Linked DNA regions of Lytechinus pictus. The protein of the gene in region 2 purifies or fractionates together with the protein of the main gene of each other region. This does not show direct contact. Links are inferred from orthologs where the notes say so. Each region holds a gene or a part of one and is shown on either strand. Other genes may lie near its edges.

Evidence for each region.
Region 1: the proteins of signal recognition particle 9 kDa protein-like (region 2) and signal recognition particle subunit SRP54 purify together in Homo sapiens (co-immunoprecipitation; 4 studies listed by BioGRID and IntAct, counting the BioPlex papers as one, with this or other methods). This does not show direct contact. The link is inferred for Lytechinus pictus from reciprocal best matches to the Homo sapiens genes SRP9 and SRP54.

The regions. Positions count from the first base shown.
Region 1 is NC_087251.1:23,423,286-23,432,482, forward strand, and holds the start of signal recognition particle subunit SRP54, read right to left. Parts: upstream 4,342-9,197; 5' UTR 4,268-4,341; intron 1,976-4,267; 5' UTR 1,863-1,975; coding exon 1,785-1,862; intron 1,200-1,784; coding exon 1,023-1,199; intron 1-1,022. UniProt on the Homo sapiens protein: Component of the signal recognition particle (SRP) complex, a ribonucleoprotein complex that mediates the cotranslational targeting of secretory and membrane proteins to the endoplasmic reticulum (ER).
Region 2 is NC_087251.1:596,228-605,481, forward strand, and holds the start of signal recognition particle 9 kDa protein-like, read right to left. Parts: upstream 4,064-9,254; 5' UTR 3,971-4,063; coding exon 3,899-3,970; intron 1-3,898. UniProt on the Homo sapiens protein: Component of the signal recognition particle (SRP) complex, a ribonucleoprotein complex that mediates the cotranslational targeting of secretory and membrane proteins to the endoplasmic reticulum (ER).

The DNA.
Region 1 (9,197 bases), about 23 Mb from region 2:
TATAGAAACGATTGATTCAACAATGAACCCTTAAAGCCCGTCTTATATTAAGCCCCATTTATATGTCTGGTAATTCCTGGTCATTATCAATTTGATTTCCAGAAATCGTAAATATAAAAACTCTAATATATTTACTGTTTTATTGTCCAACTTAATGGAAATCAATTGCAATTTGCATGTACATGTATGCCATGTTTGTATATTGTTTTTAAAAAAAAATCGAATTCTTTGAATTTATAGAAACGATTGATTCAACAATGAACCCTAAAAGCCCGTCTTATATTAAGCCCCATTTATATGTCTGGTAATTCCTGGTCATTACTACATTATATGAACATACAATATGCCTTAAAGCTCTTATGGTGAGAATGATATGAGATAAGAATGTATGTTCGAGTAGATGTAATAATCATAATAACAATAATAAATAATTATAATAATATTAATAACAATAATAATATAGAGCATTTAGAGTGCGCCTTCTATCTAGTTTCCTATTCAGAGGCGCAGAGGGAATTATTACACAGAAGGGGGGGGGGTGTTATTTGAAATATGATGAGAATAGATATGTCTTAAATTTGGCTTTGAATGACTCTATAGACTTGTCATTGCATATTGTCGAAGAGAGTGCATTCCACAAAGTGGGAGCACTATTAGCAAAAGCTTTTTCACCAAATGAGCATTTGACTCTGAGAGTTGTCAACAACCCACTCCCGAAGATCTTAGATTTCTAGAGGATTCATATTCCGAAATAAGATCATTAAAATAATGAAGAGCGTAACCATTAACAATTGTAAGTAACAAAATCTTGAATGTATACTACAATTTTACTAGAACATTTGTTTTGATTGGTATGATTTAAAATATACTTTTCCATTATACTTGAACATGAATTCAAACTTCATAAATAATCATCAGATATAAAACAGAATTTTGGGCTTTAACATTTAGATTAAACATTGATAACATAAACCCGAAGCAATTATCATATTAGCAAAATGGCATATTGCTCTGTACACTACCTTTACAAGTTCCTTGAAGACTGCAGTCTGGATCATCTTACGTTTGTTGAGACCAGCTGCCATTTCATCAAAATCAATGACAGATTTGACATTTTCTTTGAGAGCTTTGACAAGTCTGATATTGACATCTGCCTCAAGAAGAGCCCTGCACACTTCATTGAGCATAGAGTTAAGTACCTAGATGGATAAAGAACAGTGATAAAATACATAAAAATGTCAAGCCACAGTAATGCAAATGCTTCTACATATGATTGAAGGTACGACTAAAGATCCGAGTATACATGAATGTTGCAAAATAAAAAATGAACTACGGCCATATGATAGGCTACAAAAAGTAAGCCAAAATATGAGTTTTTAAAAAATTGGGGATTCAGAAGTATCCCTGTATATTCATTTTAATTTGTGTTACATAGTCTAAAAAAGAATGATAAAGTGTATTGATTCTGGATAAGAAAAATCTTCATTATGTGAAAGGAAACATTTTCATAATGTACTTTAAATAGTCAAAATTATCATCTTTTTCATAACATGGGTTCAAAGTTCAATTCTATTCATCACACTATGTTTTTTTCTAATATGAACAACAACAACGACATTAAAGTGCATATTCAAGAACTAAAGCACTATCTACTATTTTATGAAAATAAAGGCTAAACACTCTAAAGAATGCTTCACACAAGGTGTTTTGTACATTATTATATTTTAGTTCATCTTAGCATCTCCTGCAATGCATGTAATTCATAGTAAATTTCCTATACTTACATCTTCATCAATGATAGTTGCATTACTCAATGATTTTAAAGCTGAGGTGATTTTCCTTCCAAGATCGGCTAAAACCATCTTGAAGGAGTGTAAATATCTCCACAGTGAGAAAAATAAATGTCTTGACCTCCAAGCAATATGACCGTCTTCTCCAGTTCCCTACGCACTGAATAAGCTGGTTACAAAAATATCTATTTAAACAAAAGGGGGTGAAAGCATTTTTAGATTGGAATGTATTACTGTTTTAAAACAAAAAATGAAATTTATTAAACAATACATGAAACCAATATAATGACAATCGATTACTACATTCAATTTTAGACTATTGTTATCAATTCCAGAACTGGAAAAACACTGGCCAGATTTTTTTATGACAGTGTTCTTAAGACTTTGTACCTCCGCTGTATACAGAGGCGTCAATCCTGGGGGGGGGGGGCAGGGGGGGCGATCGCCCCACCAATGAAAATATTGGGGGGGGGGCAAACATATCGTTTTGCCCCCCAATAATTCCGCATGTGCAAAAAATAAAATAAGATTGTAATGTTACTCAGAAATCAGCAAGCGATATTAAGATACACAACTCATATTTTATTTAAAATCGTGCTCAAAATGTCCGCTTTTCAGATTCGAATATAAAATTTTTCAGCTCACGCTTTGCGCTCGCATCATTTCTGTAGCAAAAACCCATACTTTTCATGATTAAATAGGTGAACAGAATGTCCAGTTTTCAGTTCTAAACCTCAAAAGAACTCCCGCTTCGATTTGCAATAATCTTTTGTTGGATATATATCTTGTTCTTTATTAAAAACGTCCATTAAACTGTCAATTTTTTCCAGATCGAAATAACAAAATTTTCAGCTCGCGCTTTGCGCTCGCATTTATTCTTTTAGATACCCATCTTAATCATTGGTACCAAAAATGCTTAGAATGTCAAGCTTTCAGGTCAGAGTATAAAGAAATTTCAGCTCGCACTCGCAATATCTGTGTAGTGAGATATGTATCCTCCTCATGAGTTACTACAAACAGTCCTAAACAGGTACCTCTTTCCTGTTTTCAGGTCAGTATAGTATAAAGTTTCAGCTCGTGCTTCGCTTGCATTAATTTGTTGATAAGATATGTGTCTGTTTCTCATGAGTCATATATATATATATATATATATATATATGCATGTGTGTGTGTGGGTGGGTGAGTTTGTTTGTTTTGTGTGATCGAGCGCCTTTGGAACGTTGATTATGATCCAATTTCATAATCGATTATGAGAACAACCTTCATAGCACCAGATACTAACTGTAACTCAGTTTTAGAACAAGGCATCACACACCCAACATAAAAGCATGCACAGCTGCACTCACACGTATTGCGAGGTTAGTATTAGTATACTAACCTCGCACCACGAACCGCGTTTGGCAGTGGATTTCTAACTAGTGGGTCGCTCGTGCTGGGATCTCACTTCTTGGGTCCACAACACACGACTTCAATGGCTTGATTTTCCTGTGCGCGGCGGCATGTAATGAACCCTTGGGTGGCACAGCTGTAATTCACATTAGATCTGTTATGATGGGGTGACCATTATTTGCACACATTTTAAAAATTATCATGAAGTTGATTTTCAATCAAAAATTTCTCACAGCTCACACAAAATTAATCAAAATCATAAATGCCAAACGGAAGGCAAGATCCTAAAGTCAAATTCGCTTGACGGAATTATAAAGTAGGTCGAGGGTTTCGCTGGTATAGCGATCTCAAAATTCCATGGTGATCGACTAGTGCACGCTCGGCTGAAAGTGACATAAAAAAGTGTGACCTTATTTAAAACCATCGTGCGCAAATTAAGGTCCTTAATTTGCGCACGATGGTTTTCAAGGCTTTAGAAACGAAATCAAGCAGATAAAGGTATGATAATCATATCACATGGACTGGAGGTTAAAATGCCATAAAATCGGCTGGTATCCATTTTACTTACTTATTTGGAGACCTCTGCTTGCAAACTGGCGATTTCTTGATGCTTGTCGAGAAGGTCGGATTTTCTCGGAGCGGGCGCAAAACAAGTAACCAAATCAAATTTGCCGATGTTTTGCCAATATTTTCCTTAATAATAGAGACCTTACCTTCAAGAAAATTATCTCAATAGGTCATTTTCAGTCGCTCTTTCTGTTGGCGATATCAGTTTTTCAACATATTAATTAGATATTGAGATATTCGACCGTGCGCAAAATTAGGTAACGCGCGAATTAAGGTCACACTATCATAAGGTTTTAAGGGCATACTTTTCATCTGGCTCAGGTCCCATGCATTGATTTCCGTGCGGTAAGAACACTTCTTTTAAAATGTTCACACAGCTGTGGTACATTTAGAAGGTCCATCTTCTCGCAATTCATTTGAAAACAACATAGAAATATTGAAAATGTTTCTTTTACGAAACAAGGACGAATTGGTATTATTTAAGTAGGATATTTGCACATATTCAATAACAATTCTATTACCTTTTTCTTCCGACTTGGAACCGAGAATTCATCAGATACGTGTTATTCACAATCAATGTGATCGTAAGTGGCGCTATACCAAAACAAGTCTAGTCGCTCATCAACTAGTTGGAAGGGTTGGTTCATATTTAATCATTAAATATGATTAAATATGATTTATTTTGAAAAATTACTGCATTGTTTACTCAAGCCCGCCAGACGGATAGATAAGGTGGCTTGGATCAAATACTTTTTTTCAGAACCTCACTTTATGCAGAAATCACAATGTGTCGAAAGTGACAGTCTTGTTTTCCATAATGTTCACTGACAGCAAAAATTATCACCCCCATATTTTCCAAATTTGTCTACCCGAGTCTCTAAGTCCAATTCCTTATTTTTATTCAAAAGAAAAAGAAGCTCATCAACTAACTCAGTACCGTATATGAATGCGGCCTTAGAAGTTGAATATTAGTCCTGTGCTATTGATGTATTATGTGAATTTTCCATGATCATTCCTGTTGCATTTTAGCAGATTCTAGTAGAAAATTTGCATGTGCGAAATCAATATTTTCATTACAAGTGGCGACAAGACCGCGACAAGATCTCCCTTGCTAATACTTGGACATACATGTAGAATGTAGCACTCAGACAGTAGTTCTGTGCCCTGTGAGTAAAAAAAATATGTTTAATTGTGTGTATTTTGACAAAATTTTAGTTAAGATAATTCAAAAGATTATTTTGGGATGCAGTTCTGTCATCAATTTCTTTTAAGTTGTATGACTTACTGGAATTTAATTTTCCTTAAAATAGAATGACCAAAGTTCGTGATATTGTTTTGAGTAAATGTCTCGTAGGACACCATCTTGTCATCGTCATCAACATCAGAAACGTCATATAATGCAATCCATTGCCACCATGGGGGAAACAATATGTATTCTTATTGAAAATTCAAATTTTTGATGAAAAGTTAAGCGAATGACGTCTTCTTGAAGGCGGGAATCTCCACTTAGACAACATCATCTTAAAAATCTTGCTATTTCGATTCCGAATCCCGCTAAAAATAATGAATGTATATGATTAATAATTGGTACGCTGAATAATTATAATGGTTTTAAAACCACCAATAATTTTGAAGGGTTATCCACCACAAAAAAGTTGATTATATAGAAAGATTTTTAAAAAATCATCATTAAAATCGGATGTAAAGTACATTTTTTCTGTTGCTTAATTTCAGAAATGAGTTAAATGCACATGTTGGTCGGTATACAAATAAGAAACTGATGATATCACTAACTAACTATATTATTTTGTATTTATTATAAGAAATAAAGAAATATCGACATATTTGATTTTTTCCTAATTACAATGTGAAACAAAATTTAATTTAATCTCTGAACATGTGGAAATTGAATTTATTTTAACCTATTAATGATTTAATAAGAGTTGTCTTATTGTCAAATCTGCAAGAAGAGACATTGAAACACCTATAAAATACAAATAAATTGTAGTCATTTGCATATCACTATGTTGTGCATACATGTTTTGTGAACTTAAGCAAAATATTAACAAAACTTACATTAGTTTAATTTGTCTTATTTTATTCAAATCATTTCTTGTTGGGGACGGGAAGACGAATACGATACTTCTGCTAAATAAACCACTTCCTTTACTCCGGAGTTTCTCTGATTACCCCATCTTTTGACCGATAGCATACATTCCGTCGTCCCTATTATGCTCGGAGATTTCGTTGTTTTTTGTTTTGTTTTGTTTTCGGGGGGGGGGGGGCAGCTGGGCGTGAGACCGGGACGACCCTCTCCCATGGACTGCTGTAGAAAATTCAAAATTCTAGGTGCCTCCCCTCCCCATCCCCACCCAAATTATAAGATATAATCTACCAAATGAGTGTACTGTTGGTGGTTATCCAGAAAATTATCCATATCATTTCCAAGTGTTTGCTGAGTAAAGATATATTTATGACATCCAGTTCATGATCCAGTGAACATGGTGAATATCAGACATTGTAAACTTGCGGAAAAGTAATCCCATTTGAAAGCCGTCATTCTTTCAACAATTGAATGAGACATTATTGAATATTACTACAAAATAGATTCTTTTGGCTACCGTTCGAATCCCAATTATGAATTATTATCATTGCTCATAAAATGGAATGTGTCCTTTGCGATGCAGAAAATCGATTCAATGTACACAATAAAGTCTGATAATGTCCATCGCTCTTGGTATTATTTCAAAAGAAGCAGTCGAAAAAGCGTTTTGTCATTTACATAATGCCTTGAATAATAGGCACACAATATTGCCAGGCGCGGATCCAGGAGGGGGCCGAGCCGGCCCCGGCCCCCCTATTTTTTGACAACCTGCAGAAAAAGTGTACTATAGGAAAAACACTAAAGAAAAGTAGGAAAGAGGTATCATATCCAGGATGTGTAATTTACAACCTCGTAACGGCCGGCCCGACCCCGAAAGGAAACAAGAAAAGGGTGAGGGGAAGAATTGGAAAAAGAACTTGATATAAAAAATTTCGCTCGCGCTTCGCGCTCGCATTGCCTGTGCCAATGAATCCCATTCAAGAGGATTAAATGACACTTATATATCCAGATCTGAAATCAATTTGCACACAATATTTTAGCTCGCACATCAAGCTTTAATTATTTTGTTTGTTTTACACAAATTGTTTATATCAAAATTTTCAGCTCGCGCTGCGCGCTCGCATTGTTTGATTTGTGAGTTACCTATCCTCTTTGGAAATTCTTACAAAAATTTGTCAAAATGCTCCTTTATCATGTCAGTATATAAAAAAATTGAGCTTGTGCTTCGCGCTCGCATTTAATTGTTTGGGACACACAGCTTTTTCTGTATTTAAATAAAAAAAACGCGCTTAGACTGTCCAGTTTTCAGGTCGGAATATCAAAAATTTTGAGCTCGCGCTTCGCACTCTCATTATTTAATTGGTGATACTTGTATCCTCTTCATTAATCACTAAAAACAGTCCTAATTGAGTCCCTTTTCACGTTACTATGATAAAATTTCGGTTCGCGCTCGCATTGTTTAGTTGGATACTTATCTTTTTCATGATTATAAAATCTCCTCAGAATCTTTAGGTCTAAGGACATAAAATATCAAAGAATTTGAGCTCGCGCTTCGCGCTCGCATTATATATTAAGACCACATGAGATACCTTATCTTGTTTATAACAATAAAAACTAACATATACTTAAAACTTCAGTCTCTAGTTAGGACTACCCCCTGAACCCCCCCCCCCAAAAAAACAGATTATAGCGGCCAATCGAGAAAAATGTTGATGAAAATTTTTTTCGGCCCCCCCTATTGGCGAAAGCTGGATCCGCCCCTGATTGCAGTCATACCATCATAATGCTACAGGACACGGCAAAATAATTTCGTGTAAGAGCGTGTTTAATTATAAAGGAACCTCATGAATCATGTCGCATTGTTGGCGTGATATTCCCCCGTGTTCATACCACCATGCAACCTTCAAACATCCAGCCCTTTCACACGATATCGTAATCGTAATTTGAATGAGGCTAATGACACATGTGAATCATAAACGCTAATCACAGTCACGATAATAGCAATCATCATTACAATGATGATTCAAGATTCACGTGTGAAGAGGCCCTTTATCTAATCCAAATTAAGTTCATGCGAGAGTTTAACAATCTTTATCTGATGGGGGGGGGGACTTGGGGCCATGGCCCCCCAAATGACCAAGAAAAAAGGGGGCAAACAAAGAAAAGGAGAAGACAAAGGGTGGAATAGGACATAATAATTTTCTGGATATCATGACAAAATGTATCACTAAAAAAAATAGATTTTCGTATTAAAAAGGTCAGCATTTTTATTTTTAGAAACTTTGCACCGTACGTTATGTCTGACCCCCTCGTTTTTTTTCTTTGCTCATTATACGCCAAGTAAAATGAAACGTGGCGGATGCTAATATCTAGCGTATGATGTCTTCACAGACGCAAAAATCGAGAGGTCCTTTTCCATCCTTTCGATAAATACGGATATGAGTGAATGACTTCTTTTGAGGCATTGACGTTTTATTTGGTTCACCTTAAAATCTTGCTATGTTTCTGGGTCATTCAATCGTGAACACAATATATTTATCTGAGTATCTTCCCCCGAGTCCAGCATTGTCCGGAGGCTGACTGCAATATTCTCAGTTCTAAAATGTCTCTATCTTTTGCTAATAGGCCCTAATTTTTAAACACTCTTGCATTTTAGTGATTATGGGTATACTGTCAGTCCTACCATCCATGGCCCTACACTCATTTGAGTCCTTCTTGTCTATCACAAATTTTAATTCAAGTTTAATGTGTCAAATGTGTAGGCTTATAGTGCAAAAAATAAATTGTAAGCGATTATAATTATGCAACCACACAACAAAGATATAGGCCCACTGGGCAAGCATTCTATAGAGTAAATGTGAATAAAATGTGTGAATAATGCTCATTTTGCCCGATTGCAGAAAATGTTTTTTTACCGATGTAAATACATGTACGCTAATCACATAGGTGGTGCCATTGGCCGGGGGGGGGGGGCGACCCACTTCGTTGTCTCGACTTGGATGATTTTTCTCAACTTATCTAAAGAGGGGGAGGAAGAGAGAAAAAGAATAAAAGACTATTAAAAATTGACGACCGGGTCGTTTATAATACCTCTATATTTTTCAGTTGGCATCTCCTTTAGTTCCTGTCCACCCCCCCCCTTCAAATCACCACCCGTGACGTTGAGTGAAGTTCGTGATCTACTTACGGGATATTACGTGTACTGTCTGTTTGCAGTGCTAACAAACACGCCAAATAAACAATATGGCAGACGGTGTCAGTAGATCTATGGTATAAAGAAATTATCATTCAAAGGATATAAGCTATAATACCGAACAAAGCGAATAATTAAAAAGACCTTGACACAA
Region 2 (9,254 bases):
ACTCTCCAAAATGGGGTAGAATGTGGTCACAATAGCATTCCAAATAAAAGGGGAAAAAATAATAAATGCACTTACCTCGATTATATGGATGGTCTATCATGAGAAACTAATCCTGACATCGAGGCACAAACTGGACCCTCAAAAAAAGGAAAATTTAGACGTCTATGTCGCGTTTGTTTTGGTATCGATCAGCCATTTTGTTTTCAATTTTGACAGGAGAACGAACGAGACAGAACTTTTCCTTTTTTTGAGGGTCCAGTTTGTTTTTCCCCTTTTAAGTTTTTTTTCCCCCGTTTTGGTGCATTTCAGGCCAAAGAGGGGTAAAAAAAACTTAAAAGGGGAAAAACAGTGGCTTACCTTATGCTTAGGCTGTCACGCAACTTCACTTCCCTGTTTAAATGTTTATCTGAACTTAATACAAGTCATAAACATATCCCTGTACAGATCGAGCTAGAACTTTGGTCTCTGTATTTGGTGAGTGGAGCCAACGGAGTTCAGCGGAACAACCAACATAACAGAGACCAAAGCTTTTGGTCTAATACCCCCATCTCACTAGATGGCGAATCCGCTGCGATCATCAAAAATCGACAAAGCGTGGTATAACGTAGCTTGATCGTGGCTTGATCTTTTCAATCTTCTCCGTCGTACCTTGATCTTTTCTGAAGCGGCAAGGATCGCCACCATCTTCCTGGTCGCCACAAAATTTTGAACATGTTCAAAACTTAAGTAGCAAGAGCGCGGAGGTGCTAAAGCGCTCCACAATCGAGTCATGAGCGTATTACAAACGACATATTCGTAGCTGTAACGGAGCTCCAACACATAAAGCTAAGTAAAAACGCATTAAAAGCGGCACCTATCGCCCGTGTTTTCAGGCCCGTTCCCAAGACAATACTGCTACGCTGCTTCCGTTTACAAGGCGACTGCCTTGCGCTCGACACGCTTCACACCGTTTCAACCGCGACGCTTTCTTCTTTGGGTGGCATGTGGCACACGTTCTCAGCCCGCTGCAGGCATTTGCGTTGCGCTTTTGCTGCGCCGCTGATGACTGGGCAGCGATTGCGCAACGGCCGTCCGCGCTGCTATAAAACGCCGTGCCAATGGTGGCGGATTATCACATTTGCAACAGATTATGAGGCGACACCACAACGTTTTTAAACATACCTCCCAGAAAAAGGACAAAAAAAAGGGAAAGCTGCCCAAGCTACCCCTGTTATGCCGGCGGTCCAAGAGGAAGAACAAGAGGTTATGGTGGTGGTAGAGGAAGAGGAGGAGGGGGTACAGGAGGATGAAAATCTTACTGCTGAGCCAGCTGGAAAGAGAAAAAAGACGCTCACATGTCTTGATGACGAAATGGGTTACCTCTGCAAAAATATATAAATTGACTGTTCTAAAAATAGATTGAATTCTAACCACAGTGACAGTAGACAATATCAAATTTTGTTAATGATTCGATCACTAATGTATTGATTGGGAAAGGCACTCTTTAGGGAGATTCTGGCATTGTGCCCCCCTCCCTTTTTTTATGAGTGCTCTCACATCAGTAGACTACTTGTCAGCAAATTTGAAAGGAATTTACCAAACAATTTTGAGTGACAAACTTTTGTGGTAAAAAATAAACAGAATATCAAAGATTTTTATGCTCTTTTATGAAATTCTGGATGCATCCCTCAGGCTCATCGACATCTTTTGAATGAAATTTTAATAAGTGACAGCCAGGATCGGACCCAGTATCTCTTTGGCCTCCTCCTTCTCCTGTCCTCGTATTCAACTTCGAACTGATGTTGTTGTTGAATGCTAAGATGTATAAGTCCAACCAAATTCTGGACATCCTTCTTGGTCGGCAATCGACTGAAGAATGTCTCATGTGCCGCGATTAATATGCCGATTGCTTAAAATCGTTTCAAGAGCCCATCATGAACGTAAACACAATCGCTCCATTCGTAGCACCACCGTACTGAGGTCCTAATAGGCGTATGAGCCTCGTTGTACGGTCGCTTTGATCGCAGAAGCAGCGCATCACATCTGCCTTGAATCGTGGCAAGAGAGTGGCATCGTCGTACTATCAGCGTATTACCATCGCCTTCAGCGCAGGTCGGTCGCAGAGAAGTTGCACATGCACTGCAATCGCCTCGCAGGCTTAAAATAGAATTCGAGGAAGAATCTGCTACGCTTTGCGGGATTTACACAGATCGCCTTCCTAGTGAGATGGGGGCCTAAGCGGAACCTATACTATACTAGTATAGTTATACGAATCATCGCTCGAGGTACTCCAGCCCTAGACAGCTGGCAGCCGTCTGTTTCGAGGATTTTTTTTTATTTTTTAATTTTTTTTATTTCTCCTCGTACACAGACGGCTCGCTATCGTGCAGCTACCATTAGGGGACTTACAATGCAAAATCCCCCCGTCGGGGCTCTTCAATTTTTGTCTTTAATGAATCAAACTTTTGAAAATTAACGCGTCCGAAATGCAAATTAATATTCCCTCTTGGCATTAATTGCCAAATAACGGGGAAAATCAAGTTAAAAGGAACAAAAACAGTGACTTACCTCGGCTGTCGCGCAACTTCACCTCCCTGTTTTATCCGAACTTAGTTATAATACCGGGTAGGCCTATATATAATAAATATAGGGCCTACATAAACATATGGCCATTGAGTCCCCTGTACAGATCGCGCTAGAACTTCGGTCTCTGTATTTGGCGAGTGAAAGTGTAGTTTCGCACCTCCCCGTTTAATGGTTTTCAAACATGTACAATCTCATCCTAAATAATTCACAACCTAAAATACTTGCATCTGGGCCTCCAAAGTCCAGTAGAAGTTGAATATTTGCCGTTTTGACACTTTTTTACAAAGTTTTAACGTTACACCTATTTCAGAATCACTCGGTCGCTTGATCAAGCTCAGCGCTGCACATAAGCAGTTGGTACGCGTACAGTACGTACCACCTAGTGAAGTGCAAAAAGAGCGAGTTTTTCTATGGTATCTTCAAAAAGATTTTTTCCCCTCTTTCAGCTTGCACCTAGTATTACGGTAGTGGTTTTTCACATTTCTTATTTCATTCAAACAAGCACACACATGCACACCCCACACACACCTTCACACAACAAACATCAACCACTCTGCACAACCACTACCGTAATACTTGGTGCAAGCTGAAAGAGGGGAAAAAAATCTTTTTGAAGATACCATAGAAAAACTCGCTCTTCTTGCACTTCTTAAACTGGGCGTTGTGGCGTGCGCCTATAATCCAAGCTGTGTGGGGAAGTTACAAATTGATGCAGAGGTTCGGGGTTCGAGCCCTGGTCACGTCTTTCGGATGGTGACGTTAAAGGTCGGTCCCAGACGTAAATAATCATATCTGATTGATACACGTCTGACAAAACTCAAATACACACACTTCACTAGGTGGTACGTACCGGTACTGTACGCGTACCGACTGCTTCTGTGCAGCGCTGAGCTTCAAGCGACCGAGTGATTCCGAAATAGGTGTAAAACTTTGTTTAAAAAAGTGTCAAAACGGCAAATATTCAACTTCTAGTCTACTGGACTTTGCTTTGGAGGCTCAGATGCAAGTATTTAGGTTGTGAATTATTTAGGGTGAGATTGTACATGTTTGAAAACCATTAAACGGGGAGGTGCGAAACTACACTAGCGCCGCCAACGGAGTTCAGCTGAACCAACATAACAGAGACCGAAGCTTTTGGTCTACTCCAGCCCATGCCAAGATACCGGTACCGACTTACAGGAGCTCCGGCGCCGACACGTCGGCGAAGCTCTCTCTGAGTACCGACTACCGGTACCGTATGCCACATCACATGCCAGCTGTCAAAATGGTATCGGTGATAACCAGCCTAAGTTTTTGCGTTTGGGGAAAGTTATGCTGGGCCTTTTCAAATTACCTTGCTTGGATCTGAAAGATATAATCTCTCCGCAGCTTTTACGAACTCCTCCCATGAATTTATGTAGGTCATCTTGTTAGATTAATGGTTTAACACTCCAAAGTTAGTTTCCCCTGTCCTATCTATGCGCCGGCCCTGATCCTCATCACATTGGTATATTATACCTATATACCGCGTACATATGTACACGGTAAATCATATCCAATCGATCGCCGGCCGCCGGCGCCGCGCCAGCTAGAGGGCAGCAACACACAAGCGTTTGGAAAAGGCTAATACGCAAATGAAGAGAAAAGAAAGAAAGAAAAAACAAACAGAATAAAAAGAGAGACGATCGTTAACAAGAAAAAAAAAGAACAACAAAAGAAAAGAAAAAGAAAAAAAGAAAAGGAAAAAATGAAAAGAAAAAAGAAGAAAAAAAAGAAATGAAAAGAAGACAGATACAGAAAACAGGGGCGGATCCAGCTCCCGCCAATAGGGGGGGGGGGCCGACATTTTTTTCAGCCATATTTTCCCCGATCGGCCGCTCAAAGTTGATTTTTGTTTGTTTCTTTGAATGGGTTGTGTTAGTGGCGTAATGAGCCAAAAAATTTGAGGGGGCTTGATCGGCATATGGCATAAAATTAATAAGAAGTTGCGAGCGAGCGAAGCGAGCGAGCAAAATATTTGACATTTTAATTACAAAAATCAAAGTTTGTGGTAGATTTTGATATAACCTGATAACATTTGAAAAATTAAGGCCTATATGTCACTTATCCCTTTCCGACGTGCTACTGTTTGGAGATTCCATGTTGAAGAACATTTGATGGTCGTCGCCTGGCAAGCAAAATGAAAGTGAGATGTCGATCGTTCCGTTCCCGGTGCCAGGTCCGAAGACATACCATGTCTATCCAACGAGCGTGCCGACCCCTGTGCCGACGGTACCGTTATTGTGCATGTCGGTACAAACTACACCAAGGATGGCCTCAATTGTCTGCACAACAAGATCGTGGACGTATATAGGAAATATAATTGCTGCTAGCAAGGGGCTGAAGGTCATCCTATCTGGCATCATCCACAGACGATGGGAGTCGCGGCACCATGCAATGAGAGGAGGATCGACTTCGTCAACTCCAACCTAAGGGATACTGCGAGGCGAAACTCATGGGGTTTCGTCATCAATGACAACATCGGCGAGCAGCACCTAGGTCGTGATGCGATGGGGTCCACCTTACATCCGCCGTGTCTTACCAAACCAGAAGCATATATAACGACGTCCAAACTTCTTTGATGGAAGGTCCTATGCTGACGTAGCTGCTCCTACGACCAACATACACGGAGATGTCAGAAGGCATGCATGGTGAGACAACCAGATCGAGGACTTCGACAAGAGAGTGGCAGGACTATTTACTGTTAGTGAGATCATTACTTAATGGTTTAACACATGTATCTCCATATATATTTGATTGATGAATGAATATGATACTATGATGGCAAAGATGGAAATTGGAAATTTTGATGTATATAACAGATCACTTGACCTGCCCAGGACCAAAATCCAATTGAAACCAGTTGGATTTCCAACTGGTTTCAATTGGTTTCAATTGGTTTCAACTGGTTTCAATTGGTTTTAACTGGAATTTAACAATTTCCAGTTGAAACCAATTGAAACCAGTTGGGCAACTGGAAATCCTAACTGGAACCAGTTGGGTAACTGGAAATGACTTCCAATTGGGAATGATTTCTAACTGGAACCAGTTGAGTAACTGGAAATCCCAACTGGAACCAGTTGGGCAACTGGAAATCCTAACTGGAACCAGTTGGGTAACTGCATGGAAATGACTTCCAATTGGAAATGATTTCTTACTGCTGGAACCAGTTGAGTAACTGGAAATCCCAACTGGAACCAGTTGGGCAACTGGAAATCCTAACTGGAACCAGTTGGGTAACTGGAAATGACTTCCAATTGGAAATGATTTCTAACTGGAACCAGTTGGGCAACTGGAAATCATAACTGGAACCAGTTGGGTAACTGGAAATGACTTCCAACTGGAAATGATTTCTAACTGGAACCAGTTGAGTAACTGGAAATCCCAACTGGAACCAGTTGGGCAACTGGAAATCCTAACTGGAACCAGTTGGGTAACTGGAAATGACTTCCAATTGGAAATGATTTCTTACTGGAACCAGTTGAGTAACTGGAAATCCCAACTGGAACCAGTTGGGCAACTAGAAATCCTAACTGGAACCAGTTGGGTAACTGGAAATGACTTCCAATTGGAAATGATTTCTAACTGGAACCAGTTGGGCAACTGGAAATCCTAACTGAAACCAGTTGGGTAACTGGAAATGACTTCCAACTGGAAATGATTTCTAACTGGAACCAGTTGGGTAACTGGAAATCCTAACTTGAACCATGCATTCAGTTGTGTAACTGGAAATCCTAACTGGTACCAATTGGGTAACTGAGATGACTTCTAACTGGAAAGATGGGTAACTGGAAATGAATTCTAATTGGAACCAGTTGGGTAACTGGAAATTATTTCCAATTGGTTTCCAATTGGAAATTTTCCAGTTACCCAACTGGATCCAATTGAAACCAGTTAATTTGCATATTATTTGCCAGTGTGCACAGATTAATGTTTTATGAGATTAATCATCATTAACAATGTATCTATTTAATTCTTTACAATTTCAAGTACCACACTTTTTAAAGATTAGTATTTAGAATACTTAGCAGTGAAAACCATGTTCATAAATGTTATAGATTATAATTAAAACAGATTAAAGGATAATTAGTACACCACTAACTGTTACCAAATTACATCAAATAAAAGTACATATATTTGAAGATCTTCCATATAAATATATATACATGGAAGTCTGTATTTTATCAATGCCCTTTACATTGGTATTAATAGACATATAACACTGCTTCTGTGTTGGCATGATAAATAGTTACTGCAAATGCTAATTAATTTGTAACTAATTAAGTTCGTTCCAACTGGAAGTTCCAATTGGATCCAGTTGGAAACCAATTGGTTTCAACTGGTTCCAGTTGAAACCAGTTGCCTCCAATTGGTTTCAACTGGAACCAATTGAAACCAGTTGCCTCCAATTGGATTCAATTGGTTTTAATAGGGAAATTGGAACAACTGGAACGTACCAATTGACAACAATTGCCAACTGGTTCCAGTTGCCCAATTGGTTTTAACTGGAACCAATTGGCAACTGGTTTTCAATTGGTTTTTAACTGGAACCAATTGGCAACTGGTTTTCAATTGGAACCAGTTGTTCCAATTTCCCTATTGAAACCAGTTGGCCAACTGGTTTCAATTGGTTTTGCCCTAATTGGTTTTAACTGGATTTTGGTCCTGGGTGGTGAGTTCTGTGTTCTATATGCACGACTTTACCTGCAAAACGATTTGTTATGAAAAAATAAACTTAAGAATGATATATCCCAAATTGTACATTTATTATTTTCAAAACAAATGGATCCCTTCCATAGAATTAATGAATAGGGAAGTGACCAAAATCATTGTTTTCTTTCTCCTATTATTGTCCGGGGATATTGAATCAAACCCAGGCCCACAATTTAAGTTTCCATGTGGAAACTGCGAAAAACCAGTAATCAAATCAGTGCGGCCTTCTTTGTTCCACTTGTAAAAGATGGTAAGATATTCACTGTCAAGAAATACGCCTGGAAATATATTCAAATTTATATTTGAGCCCCGATGTCGAATGGTTTTGTTCAAACTGTTTTTACCATCTTTCTGTCAATCTTTATTTGACGACTACAATAATACTATTGTAAACTGTGAGAAAGAAATTCGGGTACCCGAAAACATTCCAGAGCCAAATTTACAACAACAAAAATCGAAGGATTCAAGTTTACTTTATCAAGATTTTGAAAACATATTTGCTGTAAAAGGTCTTCACTTTGTACATCTAAATGTTAGATCTATTCTACCAAAAAATTCAGAACTTCGAATTCTGTTTAAGAGAAAGAATCTTGCAGTCATTGCTTTCACAGAAACATGGCTAAATGACTCGGTGAATGATGAAGAAATCAATATATAGACGGATCAATATATAGTTTGACCCGGAACAAATTGCAACAAATGATTTTCAACTGTTTCTGGCAGTATTTGACCTCAGGAAAAACATACTAAAAATCTACCAAAATCCGCACATGGGAAAGTGGTTATTTTCAAGATGGCGTCCAAGATAACCGCCATTCACTGAAAATGGATATAAGTCACTCATTATCCACCCTATAGATTTTTATTTATTTATTTATTTTGTTTTATTTATTTTATACTGCAGGGTAGGCCTGTTCAGTTCTTAAAACTGTTTTACAAAGGCGCCCTGCAGTTTAAAATACATGTCAAGATAACTATGAACAACAACAACAAACAACATCAAAAATACAAAATACAAAATATCTAACATCAGAAACAATTAACACCAAAATATAGAGTGGGAAGTGACAATTTAAACATACATAGCATTGTAAATCAATGGAATATCATTTCGCTCTTTATCAATTCGTATGAAAGGCTTTGCATAATTTTTTAAAAACTAACAAGGAGGTACAAACTTGTAAATTTGAAGGAAGTGCATTAAATAATTTGGGTCCGACATATGCGAAAGATTTTCTTTTATGTTCAATTCTAGCTTTGGGAAGCTGAAGGGGGCATCGTAAAGAATACCGTGTCCTGTATTTCACGGGCCGTTTACATACTAAAGGTTTTAAATAATTTGGAACTAAATCATTCATTATTTTATATACAAGAACACAATACTGATATTTTATACGCTAGAATCCTATTTGATTTCATATTCCATGGTACAGTGGGTAAACGAATTTGTTGAAACAAGTTAAAGTGAATATTAGCAATCTACACTCTAAATTACAGGGATTTAAAATAAGTCCAGATGGACTGTAGCTAGGGACCAATCGATTTCTGAATTTAGTTTTAATCCTAACGACTTAAATTTAAATCTCAAATGATTTAAATTTAAATCTTTCGAGATTTAAAAATGAATCTTAAGGATTCAAACTAAATCCGGAATTCGATTGGTCCCTAACTACAGTCCATGTGGACTTGTTTTAAATCCCTGTAATTTAGAGTGTAGGGTACCAGAAAAATCCAAGATGGCGCCCCGCAAATGGCTGCTGTAGGCTAAAAAATCCTTACCTACTTACTTAAGTGGCTTTAATTTGGTATCTTTTTAATGGTTTTACTGGCGAAGTAGTACATCGGGACAAGTTACAAGGATAGTCAGTGGTCTGGTGTGTCAAAAAATCCAAGATGGCTTCCAAAAATTGAGTTTAAAATGGCTGTTAATGCTTAAAATGGACATAGCTCATATCACA